Linked DNA regions of Macaca fascicularis. The protein of the gene in region 2 interacts with the protein of the main gene of each other region in a biochemical or structural test. Links are inferred from orthologs where the notes say so. Each region holds a gene or a part of one and is shown on either strand. Other genes may lie near its edges.

The links.
Region 1: of the proteins of LATS1 (region 2) and MINK1, one has a biochemical effect on the other in vitro, tested with the Homo sapiens proteins (2 studies listed by BioGRID). The link is inferred for Macaca fascicularis from reciprocal best matches to the Homo sapiens genes LATS1 and MINK1.

What each region holds. Positions count from the first base shown.
Region 1 is NC_088390.1:4,993,853-5,000,701, reverse strand, and holds part of MINK1 (misshapen-like kinase 1), read right to left. Parts: intron 6,792-6,849; coding exon 6,722-6,791; intron 6,323-6,721; coding exon 6,112-6,322; intron 3,930-6,111; coding exon 3,813-3,929; intron 3,351-3,812; coding exon 3,264-3,350; intron 3,057-3,263; coding exon 2,838-3,056; intron 2,623-2,837; coding exon 2,449-2,622; intron 2,133-2,448; coding exon 1,872-2,132; intron 1,447-1,871; coding exon 1,361-1,446; intron 1,198-1,360; coding exon 1,087-1,197; intron 945-1,086; coding exon 832-944; intron 598-831; coding exon 509-597; intron 305-508; coding exon 281-304; intron 158-280; coding exon 1-157. UniProt on the Homo sapiens protein: Serine/threonine kinase which acts as a negative regulator of Ras-related Rap2-mediated signal transduction to control neuronal structure and AMPA receptor trafficking.
Region 2 is NC_088378.1:57,697,427-57,704,275, forward strand, and holds part of LATS1 (serine/threonine-protein kinase LATS1), read right to left. Parts: intron 3,433-6,849; 5' UTR 3,431-3,432; coding exon 3,304-3,430; intron 1-3,303. UniProt on the Homo sapiens protein: Negative regulator of YAP1 in the Hippo signaling pathway that plays a pivotal role in organ size control and tumor suppression by restricting proliferation and promoting apoptosis.

The DNA.
Region 1 (6,849 bases), on a different chromosome or scaffold from region 2:
CAGGGGTGTCTCTGCTCCCCTCTGATGGCCCGCCTTCGCCTTCCTCCTCGTCATCCTCACTGCTCTCCACCTCCTCGCTGGACGATGAGTAGTCCATGGCCTTCTTGGGAGGCCGAGGGGCCTCGTCCAGGGTCCGCTCTTTCAGCAACACGAAGTCCTGCGGGGAGGAGCCACGTGAGGGGCAGGGAGAAGGTGGGCCTGGGTGGAGGCAGACAAAGGGTGCTGGGACACCCCAGCAAGGTGACAGGAGGGGCCCCCACAACAGGCCCATCTCACTAACCTCACCAATTGCTCGCTTATAGCTCTGGGAGGGGCCGCAGGGGAAGAGCGAGCCAGGAGAGATGTTAGGAAAGAGGTTAGAAAAGGTTAGTAGCATGAGAAGCACCAGTCCCTCCATCCCCACAGCCCTTCCCAGTAGATCCGCGGAGACCCCCCCTGGCACCCAGCTCCCTGGGGCTAAGCCCCAAACCAGGATGAGGCAGGCGGTGCCGGCCACCAGGCGACTCACTGCGGGCCGGCCTGGCCGCGAGCGGTGGTCATCGGGCTTGGCTTTATTCCCAGGAGAGAGCACTGGGGAGCTGTCCAGTTTGGAGGAGGCTGGACATGGCAGGGTGGAAGAAGAAAGGTCACTGATGCCTGGACAAGGGATGGCCTCAAGCCCACACCTGGGCTGACCCCTTGCCCCTGAGCCCCAGAACTCAGCCCCGAGTTCCATACCCACGCAGGTCCTCCCTGTCCCTGTGGGTGTCCCAGTCCAAAGCCACCAAAGGCAGGGTCCATCCTGATAAGACTCCAGGCCCAGAGCAGGCTGCCCAGCCCTGGCTCACATACCTCCCACGCGGTTCCGCTCCAGTGAGCCGGCCTGGGGGAGGTGCCCGTGCGAGGCCGGGAGGACACTGTCCGAGCGTTCCCAGCCAGGGTCGCTCCTCCTGAGGTCGGGGTTACTGTTGGGGGGCAGAGTCAGGGTCAGGGAGGCAGGGTGCTCCCCTCTCTGGGGTGCTGAGCTGCACTGCAGAGGGAGCCATCACCAGGGAAGCAGGTGGCAGAAGTGAGAGGTGGGAGTGAGTCGGGGGACGACTCCATTACCTAGAGGCGTTGGGCGGGCCAGGGGGCTGAGCAGGGGGCCCTGGAGGCTTTGGGGTGCCCCGCTCTGCCCGCCTTTGCAGATAGATTTGCCAGGCGGAGTTGCTGCGAGGTCTGTGAAGGGAGCACAGGGGTGCCGAGGGGGCGGGGGGGCGCTGAGGTGATGGGGCTGGGGCTTGCCCACCCCTAGGTGGGTAGGCTGGTAAAGTCCCTGTGCCCCCCTACTCCCTAGGCTGTCCTCAGACCTCACCCAGGCATTGCCCTACCCAGGCATTACCTGGCACGGACTGCCTGGGCTGGCCGGGATCCTCCGGCCCCACTGGTGTTAAGGGCAGTGGCGATAGATGAGGTCCTCTGAGGCACCTGTGGAGAGAAGTCCACGTGCTGCGAGCTGGCGCTGCGACGGGCACTTCAGAGATGTTTGAGCCTCACCTCTGAGAGGTGAGCTCCTCACTTTGATGGATGAGAAAACTGAGGTTCAGGGAAGTTAGTGAATACGTCCAAGGTTATGAAGCTGGGAGATGGTTGGAGCTGCGGTTCTAACTCACAAAGTCTGCCCCTTAGCGGCCCCGAAACACCCTGGGCGTTTCTCCGTTCCCACGCTCCCCAGGGGCATCAATGCCACACCTCCACGTTGCCTCCTCAGCTGGACGGCTGAGCCCCGCTGGGCAGCGCCCTAGCTTTCTCTGGCTTCCCGCCTGCACTCTTCCCCACGCGGCCCCTTCACTGCCCTCCTTCTCCTCATGACTAGTTCCTTGCTTTTCCCTGGGCCCACAGGCTGTCCTTACCTTGGGTGGGGCCTCGTTATCTGGGCGGACCCAGGCTGGGGGGTTCGGGCTGGGGCCAGGTCCTTCAGAGGTGGGGTCTGAATTCTGGCGGATGACAGCTCCTCGGGCACTGGGCGTGGCAGTGGGTGCAGGGATGGCAGGGTCGGGGTCATGGGAGGCTGGGAAGGCAGCCAGGTTTCGGGTGGGCTGGTCCTGCAGGGACTGGGATCGGGGCACAGGTGCTGCATATGGCTTCAGTGGGACCCGGTGCGCCACCAGGCTCTGCAGGGAGAGACCAGGGAGGGTGGACTGCCTGCTCCATGGCAGCTCCCCACCTGCAAATCGGGGTCTGAGGTGGGAAGGGACTTCAGTTGCCGCTTCCTCCATTGAAGGACAAGGGGTTCCTTGAGCCTGAGGACAGCTAAGTCAGGACAGACATAGGCAGCAAGAAGCAGGTGAGTGTGTCTGTCCACATAGCCTGTGCTCTGGAATCCTGGCTCAGGCTGAGCAGGTGTGTGTGTGCGTGTGTGTGTGTGCACCTGGGCTCTGAGCAAAGCTCCCCGTGTCTGCATTAAGACAGGAGTGGGGGGAGACTCACCTTGTGCGGTCCCTCCTGGGGCTCCACCGGCCTCTGCATAGGAGGAGTCTGGGAAAGGGGTCCTGCAGGCCCGGGGGAGGCCTGGGGGATGGAGGGCTCAGGCCCCGTGCTGCTTGGCTTGCTCTTGGCCAAGGGAGAGTTCTGCTGCTTGTTCATCCTTGTTCTCTCTTCTACCTGTGATGTGAAGGGATGTCAAGCAGGCCAGCTCTTGCCTCCCTGTTCTCAAAACTGAGGGTCCCGCCCGCCCTCACCACTCCTGTCCTATGCTGTGTGCTGTGTGCTCCTTTCCCCTGCTCGGTGCCTGTTCCTGTGAACAACCACTGCTTGTGGCTCTCCAGGCCTCAGGCAGTGGGACTGCAGTCTCAGGAGGCAAAGGAGGCAGTGAGTACCTCTCGGGCCCAGGCTGGTTTGTCAGCGGGATTCATGCCCCGACCATAATGGTACAGGGGCTTCCTGTCCCCGGGCAGGAGCTGCTGCTGCTGCTGTTTCTGAAGCTGCTGCTGCTGTTGCTGCTGCTGCAGGGACTTGAGGTAGGCATGCTCCTGCTGCAGCTGCCTCTGGAGACGCTCTGACTGCCGCTGCTCCTCCAGCTGCTTCCGCTTGTATTCCTGGGCCCAAGGGTAGGGAGAGAGGGCTCAGCAGAGTGTGGCCTGGGAGTCAGAGCAGGCATGCCCTCTCTTTTCTCCAACTGCCTAGAGAGGAGATGTATTCCCTTGATGTCTTGGGTGAATCCCTTCCCTTGAAGTGTTCCCATCCCGTTCCAGCAAAGAAGCTCTGAAAAGCATCTTCCCAGAGGACGCTGAGGGACCCGTTACCAGCAGCAGGGCCTGTTCCTGGAGCAGCTGTTGCTGAAGGATCTCGAGCTGTCGCTGCTCCTCCTCTAGCCTGTGACGAATATATTCCTGGGGGGCGGGGTGTAGGGTGGGGGGCAGAGGGCAGGGAAGGAGGAAGAGGCAGAGGAGGGCAGCAGCAGCGAGTTGGAGAAGGAGGAAGGGATCCGCAGGAGGAGGATGAGGGGGTGCAGGGGAAAAGTAAGAGAGAGGTAGGGGAGGGGATGGCATGAGCCCCGGGGGGCCACGCGGCACAGATGGGGAAGAAGAGGGCACAGGGAATGAGGGGGATGAGGAAGGGGCCAGGGAGAATCAGGGATGGGGTACAGAGATGGGAATGAGGCAGGGAAGGAGGAGGGAGGGGGCCAGGGTTGGGGTTGAAGGGTGGGAGAAAACAGAGAGAAAGAGTGAAGCTAGAAAAGATAGGAGGAATCTGGGTGGGGGGGAGAGAAGGGGGAAGGGCACGGGGAGCAGGGGCGGCAGGCAGCAGGAGCAGGAGGGCGGGAGGGCAGGGATGTGGGTGCGGCGCTCTACCTGCTCGCGCTCCGCCTGCCGCCGCTCCTCCTCCCGCCGCAGAACCTGCATGTCCTCCAGCCGCCGCTGCTGCTCCTTCTCCTGCAGCTTCCGCTGCTCCCGCTCCCGCCGCTGTTGCTATGGGGAGAGCCAGGTGGTCTTAAGGACCATACCGGACACCGCGGCAGCACTGTCCCTCCATGGACAGGGAGGGAGCTCTCCTTGCTCACCACGGAGGCTTGCGCTTGTTTCTGTAACTATACCCATCCCCACCCAAGGGCCCGCGGGGCTGGGCTCGGGAAAACAGCCAGTAGCTGTGATGAGAGAGGCTGTGAGACTGACCGCTGCCTGTGGGGTGTGCTTAGCTAGACAACACCTTCCCCTACCCACACCCCACCAAACAAACAAAACCCGAACTCAAAACAAGCATCCCCAGCACTCCTAGCCTAAAACCGACCTTTGCCTGAAGTCCATACAGAGCGGGTCGTAGCGATAGACTTTGGCCACAAGAGGGCACCAGGTGCCCGTGCACAGAAAAGGGACCTGGCCCGCTCCTTGGCAAGCCCCGATGCCCAGGTGGTACTTGACTTTCACGGTATTTCCGATCACAAAGTCTACCACAACCACCACCGCCACCACCGCCTACAACAACAAAAGCGCAAGCCCTAAGGGGCCCTTACACTTGAGGGAACTTGTGCCTATTCCTGCAATGAAGTTGCTGGCACGCCTTCTCCACGCCGTTAGATAGGACTTTGTCACTATGCTATCTGAACGCTATATTTATTTTATTTATTTATTTATTTATTTTTTGAGACAGAGTCTTGCTCTGTTCCCTAGGCTGGAGTGCAGTGGCATGATCTTGGCTCACAGCAACCTCCGCCTCCCGGGTTCAAGTGATTTTCCTGCCTCAGCCTCCCGAGTAGCTGGGACTACAGGCGTGTGCACCACCCACATCCGGCTAATTTTTTTTTGTATTTTTAGTAGAGATGGGGTTTCACCATATTAGACAGGCTGGTCTTGAACTCCTGACCTCATGATCCACCCGCCTTGGCCTCCCAAAGTGCTGGGATTACAGGCGTGAGCCATCGCGCCCGGCCTATATTTTCAAAACTGCACAAGGCTCTTCTGTAGCAGGTTTTCTTGCAAATTATTTTTTGTTCAACAATGAGAGGGCCTGCTTTGGGGGTAGCAGGTGGACAGTGTGGATGCTGCGGGTTATTATTATTATTATTATTTTTGTTGTTGTTGAGACAGAGTCTCGCTTTGTCGCCCAGACTGGAGTGCAGTGGCCGGATCTCAGCTCACTGCAAGCTCCGCCTCCCGGGTTCACGCCATTCTCCTGCCTCAGCCTCCCGAGTAGCTGGGACTACAGGCGCCCGCCACCTCGCCCAGCTAGGTTTTTGTATTTTTTAGTAGAGACGGGGTTTCACCGTGTTAGCCAGGATGGTCTCGATCTCCTGACCTTGTGATCCGCCCGTCTCGGCCTCCCAAAGTGCTGGGATTACAGGCTTGAGCCACCGCGCCCGGCCGGGTTATTACTATTAGTAGTAGTATTGGAGATGGAGTCTCACTCTGTCACCCAGGCTGGAGTGCAGTGGTGTGATCTCTGCTCACCTCTGCCTCCCGGGTTCAAGTGAATCTCCTGTCTCAGCCTCCCAAGTAGCTGGGATTACAGGCACGTGCCACCACACCCGGCTGATTTTTGTATTATTAGTAGAGATGGGGTTTCACCATGTTAGCCAGACTGGTCTCAAAAACTCCTGACCTCAGGTGATCCACCCACCTCAGCCTCCGAAAGTGAGCTACCGCATCTGGTCTATTGCCTATTATTTAGACACATTTTTTGTTAAGTCCAGCTAATCATGAAATTTGAAATCATGTAACTGTTTCAACAGAAATGCCATTGATTTAAGGCATTTTATTTTATTTTAATTCTGAGGCAGAGTCTCACTCTGTCGCCCAGTCTGGAGTGCAGTGGCTGGATCTCAGCTCACTGCAAGCTCCGCTTCCCGGGTTCACGCCATTCTCCTGCCTCAGCCTCCCCAGTAGCTGGGACTACAGGCGCCCGCCACCACGCCCGGCTAATTTTTTGTATTTTTAGTTGAGATGGGGTTTCACTGTGTTAGCCAGGATGGTCTCGATCTCCTGACCTCATCATCCGCACGCCTCGGCCTCCCAAAGTGCCGGGATTACAGGCGTGAGCCACCGCGCCCGGCCCCATTTAAGGCATTTTAAAACCTGTTCTCCCTGAGGCCCTAATGGACCCTGGGAAGGTCAGCAGGAGGCCGCGCCAGGCCTGGGCCCTTGGGAGACAGCCCACCTCCTCCACGCGGCGCCGCTCCTCCTTCTGCTCCTCTATGCGCCTCTGCCGCTGGTGCAGCAGGTGTTTGATGTGTGCCTCGGGGTCTCGCTGCTGCTGCTGCTGCAGCTGCTGCTGCTGTTTTAAAGCCTCTGAGTTGCTCTTATTTTCCTGCTGGAGGCGGAGAAATTCCCGGCGTAGAGTCGACTCTCCAGGCACGTTCATGATGGAGCTGGGCAGGGGTGGCACAAAGAAGAGCTGGGGTCAGAACCCTGTTGGTTCCCACTCTCAACCCCGTGGGCCCGCCTGAGCGGGTGCTTTAACTGGATCAAAGCCTCTGCCTCTGGCCACTCCCAGGTGGCCAGGAGACTCACTGTCCCCTGCTGCCCGGTCTTCAGCCCTATCCTCCTTTCCTATTACTGCTGCGCCCCACCTTCACCCTGAATTGCTCTCTCCCCAGCTCTTGCTCACTCATTTGTTCCACTTCTTAGCACTCGGGAATTTGGTTTCTAGGAGTCTCTACCTCTCCGTGCCCATCACCCCCAGGCCGAGCATCTCCAAAGCCAAGCACCACTGTAGTCCCCCCACTCAGTGATGACCCCCCAACCCCCGCTCCGCCTGCCAGGCCTACCTTGGCTCTCCTTCCTCTCCATGGCTGTCGTCTTCCTCCTCGCTGCCGCTGTACTCATATTCTGTCTCCTCTGCAGGGGAGACCACTGCTGTTAACTCACCCAGTACCCCAGACCCCGCCGTGGGCTA
Region 2 (6,849 bases):
TCCTGAGTAGCTGGGTTCATAGGCGCACGCTACCATGCCTAGCTAATTTTTGTATCTTTAGTAGAAATAGGTTTCACTATGTTGGTCAGGCTGGTTTTGAACTCCTGACCTCGTGATCCACCTGCCTTGGCCTCCCAAAGTGTTGGGATTACAGGCGTGAGCCACTGTGCCTGGCCACAACTGCTTATCTTAACCTAGATACTCCCTTCTATTGATTCTAGGTCTTTAGACAGTAACAACTCTTTCAACCAACTGCCAATCAGAAAATCTGTGAATCTACCTATGACCTGGAAGCCATCTGCTTCAAGTTGTCTTCCTTTCTGGACCTAACCAATGTACATCTTACATATACTGACTGATGTCTTACGTCTCCCTAAAATGTATAAAACCAAGATGTAGTCTGATCACCTTGGGCACATGTTCTCAGGAGCTCCTGAGGGCTGTGTCATGGGGCAATGGCCACTCATATTTGGCTTAGATCTCTTAAAATATTTTACAGAGTTTGACTCTTCGTCGACACTGGAAGCGGGGTATCCTATGTGGTTGGTTTGGGAAGCATATTTGGCTTTCTCTGAGTCGTCCCAAATTGGAAGTAGGCAAAAAAATTAGGGAAGCTGGTAATTACTGACCAAGTCCTGACTGTTTGGGCCTACTGCTACATAGGTCATGGGTCAGAGTTCTAGTTTCATACATGATCTGGCCATTGTCCATCTGTATATTCAGTGTTTCATTATCCTAACACAGCAAACTGGTACCTGGAAGTCAGGTGCTGCTACAATAAAAATCTATGCAGTCCTACCTTAGTGATACTGCCTTAGTGGTCAGGCTGAGGGTTGAGAGGAAACAGATACCAGAGGCCGGAAAGACGGAGGATCATGTTTCATAGTGGCAAAATATCTGGTAAAGCTGTTGCCTATAATAACTTTTCATACAACTACAAGGTCAGTGAGCATACAAAGAGGCTACTGATCTTGTAGTCTTATAAAAGAGTTTGGTAAAGAGGATTTTGGAACTGAGTATTAGCTGCTATTAGATATTTGGCAAGTATTATAAGTAAATGATGAGTTCAAGAAGGAAGTAGCAGATTTGAAAGCAAAAACAGAAGAGAATAGAAAAAGTTCAGAAATTTAAAGCCTTGAAGGACTGGAAAAGCAGTTTGCACCTAGACCCCTAGAGGCAGGATTAAAAGACTGAGCACAGATGCCTACTGAAACTCGTTAGCTAACTAGTGCTTCTGTGGTTAAGACCGTATTAAAGATGTAGCCCTCCCATCAAACCTAATAGCCTCAAATAACCAAATGAGAGGAGGAGGAATAGACACTCTTAAATCTTTGGATGAGTTTACCAATACATGCAAACTTTGGTTGTGGTTACTGACACACAGAATTGATGGAAACCAAACAGACTGGAAGAGGTTTACTAACTTAAAGAAACTGTTTTGTTAAAAAAAAATATTTTTTGGCCGGGCGCGGTGCTTCACATCTCTAATTCCAGCACTCTGGGAGGCTGAGGCGGGTGGATCACGAGGTCAGGAGTTCGAGACCAGCCTGGCCAATATGGTGAAACCTTGTCTCTACTAAAAAATACAAAAATTAGCTGGGCATGGTGGTGTGTGCCTGTAGTTCCAGCTATTCAGGAGGCTGAGGCAGAAGAATCACTTGAAACTGGGAGGCGGAGGTTGCAGTGAGCGAAGATTATGCCACTGCACTCCAGCCTGGGTGACAGGGTGAGACTCCGTCTCAAAAAACAGAAAGAAATTTTTTTTTTCTTAAATTATCCTTAAGTTCATACTAAAAAACTCTTTTCGTCTGTTCAAAATTTAAAACTTTTGGGCCCCCAACTTCTATGAGCAATAAGCTAGCTGAGAAAGATCTGTATGTTCCAAAGGGAAGGTACAACACAAACTTCGCAGGTGGCCAAGGATAATTAAAACAATGGATGAGAGAGTTCCTTCCAAATAAATCAAGGTCCAATCTCCCCTACCTCCACGGCTGGTTGCTTACACAGAATCTGACTAGGAGATTTCAGATTATAGATCAGCATTTGCTGCTTATCTTCCATTATTCTCTTTTTCTAGGAAGAGTGCTTTACTGTGGCCCTTGTGTACTGCGGTGAGTGAGTGAGGGGAAGAGAAAAGGAAGGGAGATAGAGAGAAACAGATACAGTGAGTGACAGACAGACAGAGTACGCACACACGCAGCACACAGGACACATTACTTCATCATATCTGGACCCGATTAAGAGATTACTGGGCATGTGGACCATAGGACCCAAGAATCTTGCCTCTATCACTAATCAGGGCCCAATTTGTTGGCAAAGGAATAACATAATACCATGAACATCTTTCCACAGTAATAGGTGTCATTTATTTATTTATTTATTTTGAGACGGAGTTTCGCTCTTGTCACCCAGGCTGGAGTGCAATGGTGTGATGGCTCACCGCAACCTTCGCCTCCCAGGTTCAAGCAAATCTCCTGCCTCAGCCTCCCAAGTAGCTGGGATTACAGGCATGTGCCAGTATACCCAGTTAATTTTCTATTTTTAGTAGAGACAGAGTTTCTCCATGCTGGTCAGGCTGGTCTCAGACTCCTGACTTCAGGAGACCGCCCTTGTTGGCCTCCCAAAGTGCTGGGACTACAGGTGTGAGCCACTGCGCCCAGCCACATTTTATCTTTTATTCTCTCTCTCTTTTTTTTTAATAGAGACGAGGGTCTCGCTATGTTGACGAGGCTGGTCTCAAACTCCTGGCCTCAAGTGATCCTCCCATCTCGGCGTCCCAAAGTGCTGGGATTACAGGCGTGAGCCACCATGCCCAGCCAGTGTCACGTTTGTTTGATTCTAAGCATGCTTTTCTACATTTTAATATTTCTAAAATTTAGGGCCAGGTGCAGTGGCTCATGCCTGTAATCCCAAAACTTTTGGAGGCTGAAGTGGGCGGATCTCTTGAGCCCAGGTGTTTGAGACTAGCCTGGGCAACAAAGTGAGACCCTATCTCTACAAAAAATAGAAAAAATCAGCCAAGTATGTTGGTGTGCACCTGCAGTCCCAGCTACTGGAGAGACTGAGGTGGGAGGATCAATTGAGGTGAGAGGATCAATAGAGCCCAGGAGGTCAAGGCTGTAGTGAGCCGTGATTTTTGCCACTACACTCCAGCCTGGGCTGGAGTCAGAGCAAAACTCTGTCCCAGAAAAAAATAATAATAATAAATAGAGTACATCTTAAGATCAACCCTTGGGCCCCCAACTTCTATGAGCAATAAGCTAGTTGAGAAAGATTTGTACCTTCCAAAGAGAGAATACTCACCCAACACACACTTCACAGATGGCCAGGGATGATAATTAAAACAATGGCTGAGAGTTCCTTCCAAATAAATCAAGGTCGAATCTCCCCTCCAAAGCAGAGAAGTTCTAGAGTAGCAGTCATTGCACATGCCTAACTTAACCATAAAATAAAAGCCGAAATCTTTGTTACCTCAATTGTATTATTTTCTTTTTTTGTTTTCTTGAGACAGAGTCTCGCTCTGTTGCCCAGGATGGAGTGCAATGGCACCATCTCGGCTCACTGCAACCTCTGCCTCCCAGGTTCAAGCAATTCTCCTGCCTCAGCTTCCCAAGTAGCTGGGATTACAGGCATCCACCACCACACCCGGCTAATTTTTAGTACTTTTAGTAGAGATGGGGTTTCACCATGTTGCCCAGGCTGGTCTCAAACACCTGACCTCAGGTGATTCACCTGCCTTGGCCTCCCAAAGTGCTGCGATTACAGGCATGAGCCACCATACCCGGCCAATTGTAATATTTTCATTGGCGGCACCATATATGATGCTCAAAATGTTTTTTCTTTTTTTCTGTTTTGTTTTTGTTTGTTTGTTTGTTTTTGAGAAGCAGTTTCTCTCTTGTTGTCCAGGTTGGAGTGCAATGGCGCAATCTCAGTTCACTGCAACCTCTGCCTCCCGGGTTCAAGCGATTCTCCTGCCTTAGCCTCTCAAGTAGCTGGAATTACAGGCATGTGCCATCATGTGTGGCTACTTTTTGTATTTTTAGTAGAGACAGGGTTTCATCATGTTGGCCAGGGTAGTCTTGAACTCCTGACCTCAGGTGATCCACCTGCCTCAACCTCCCAAAGTGTTGGGATTATAGGCATGAGTCTCACTCTGTTGCCCAGGCTGGAGTGTAGTGCCATATGCTGGCTCACTGCAACCTCTGCTTCCCAAGTTCAAGTGATTCTCATGCCTCAGCCTCCAGAGTAGCTGGGACTACAAGTACCCACCACCACACACAGCTAATTTTTGTATTTTTAGTAGAGACAGGGGTGCGCCATGTTGGCCAGGTTGGTCTTGAGCTCCTGACTTCATGTGATCCATCCATCTCAGCCTCCCAAAGTGCTGGGATTACAAACACGAGCTACTCGCCTGGCTATTATTACTTTTGTAAATAGAGATGGAGAGCTTGCTAGGTTGCCCAGGCTGGTGTCAAACTCCTGAATTCAAGTGTTCCTCCTGCCTCAGCTTCCCAAAATACTGGGATTACACCATGCCTGGCCCACAAAATGTTTTGAAAAGGTTCCATTGTGATATAGTATTGTGCACTCAAACTGTCATTCAATAGACAATGCAATTAAAGCCATAATTATTAAATTCAAGCAAGATCACAGAATTTTCAAAGGTAAGAGACTCAAAATCTGTCAAAACTTTTACAGTTATCTTCAGAGGAAGCTGTTTAATTAGAAGAAAAAAAAAAAACTAAGCAAAAAGGAAAGCAACATCCCAGTATTCTTCATTATACCTTAAAATTATACACACAATCATAAAGACAACATAGGTTAAGATAATTAACTAGCATTATGAAAAGCAGCCTGTTATCATGATGTTGCATTAACTACCCAAAGTAATTCAGAAGAATCCTAGATTCTGAATGTGAATAAGGCTGAGACTCAAACTTTATTGTGATGAAAATGGTATACAATTGAACGAATAAATGTATGCTACTGATTATTAATAAAATCTTTATGTTTACTTTCTGCCCGCTAAAAAATTGCTACTAAATAGACGGCTCATCTTAGAGTTAGTGGCATTTCAGAACTGAGAAAATATGATAGTTCAACCTCATTCCTTTAAATACCTTGATATTGGCCGGGAGCGGTTGCTCAAGCCTGTAATCCCAGCACTTTGGGAGGCTGAGACGGGCGGATCACGAGGTCAGGAGATCGAGACCATCCTTGCTAACACGGTGAAACCCTGTCTCTACTAAAAATACAAAAAACTAGCCGGGCGAGGTGGCGGGCGCCTGTAGTCCCAGCTAATCGGGAGGCTGAGGCAGGAGAATGGCGTAAACCCGGGAGGCGAAGCTAGCAGTGAGCTGAGATCCGGCCACCGTACTCCAGCCTGGGCGGCAGAGAGAGACTCCGTCTCAAAAAATAAATAAATAAATAAATAAATAAATACCTTGATATTGAACTTCATCATGTATATGTACTATTTTTATTTTATTTTTTTTTTTTTTTGAGACGGAGCCTCACTCTGTCGCAGGCTAGAGTGCAGTGGTGCCATCTCGGCTCACTGCAACCTCCGTCTCCCGGGTTCAAGTGATTCTCCTGCCTCAGCCTTACAAGTAGCTGGGACTACAGGCGTGCGCCACCACACTCAACTAATTTTTGTATTTTTAGTAGAGATGGGGTTTCACCATGTTGGCCAGGCTGGTCTCGAACTCGAGACCTCAGGTAATCCGCCCACCTTGGCCTCCCAAAGTGCTGGTTACAGGCGTGAGCCACCACGTCTGGCCAGATGTACTATTATTTATAAATCCCTGACTGATGGACATTTAGGTTGTTCCTCATTTCTTTGCTAATGTAAAATAATACTGCAAACTGATAACTTCAATTATACTAGTAATATTCTAGTTCTGAGGACAGGTGGTAAGTTCATGGATGTTCATTTTATTATGCTTCATAGTTTAATAAAATGAACATATATATAATATATATAGCCTATTCCTTGCACATAACAAAAATTGTGAACAAAAAAAAAAATTGCTGCAATAAAAATTCTTGTGCACACATTGCTGAGCATTTTCCTTAAAATAAATTCCCAGAAGTGGAATTGCTGGATCAAAGAGAATACTTATTTAAAATTCTAATATTTATTGTCAGACTGCCTTCTAGAAAGTTATACTAATTTTATAATCCCCACAACAAGGTATGGTTAATACTGGCATTACTAAATCTCAATAATCTTTGCTGCTATGTCATGTGAAAATTCAAATTATTACTAGGCAAAGAGAATTTTTAAAATAATTATTCAAAGCAAAACTGTTCACCTTTTTAACCCACACTACAATGGGGCCAGATTCATCTTAATAAACAATTCTGATCATGTCACCTACCTACTCCATAACTTTCAATGACTTTTAACCTCATGGTTAAAGTAAGAGCTCTGGAATCAAACTGCCTGGGTATGACAAATCGCCATTTTTTTTAAAAAAAAGTTCAGACCCTCATCAAAAATACAAACATCAACAAACAAGTATCACTGATTAGTTTGTCCAACTTAGGGGAAAAAAATGGTACCATTACATAAGATTTCAAAGTGTTAACTTGGGTTGAATTAAGTTTATCAGAAAAGTACCCTGGCTGGGTGCAGTAGTGCACCTGTAGTCCCAGCTACTTGAGAGGCTGTGGTGGAGGATTGCTGGAGCCCAGGAGTTGGAATCCAGCACAGGCAAGATAGCGAGTTCCCATCTTTAAAGGAAACTGCATACTGATATTTTCTTCAGTTCACTTTCTAATAATTGTCAGATCAAAAGTGAAAGCAACACTGTATCTTCATGCTGAAAAATGATTGCTGTTTCTACT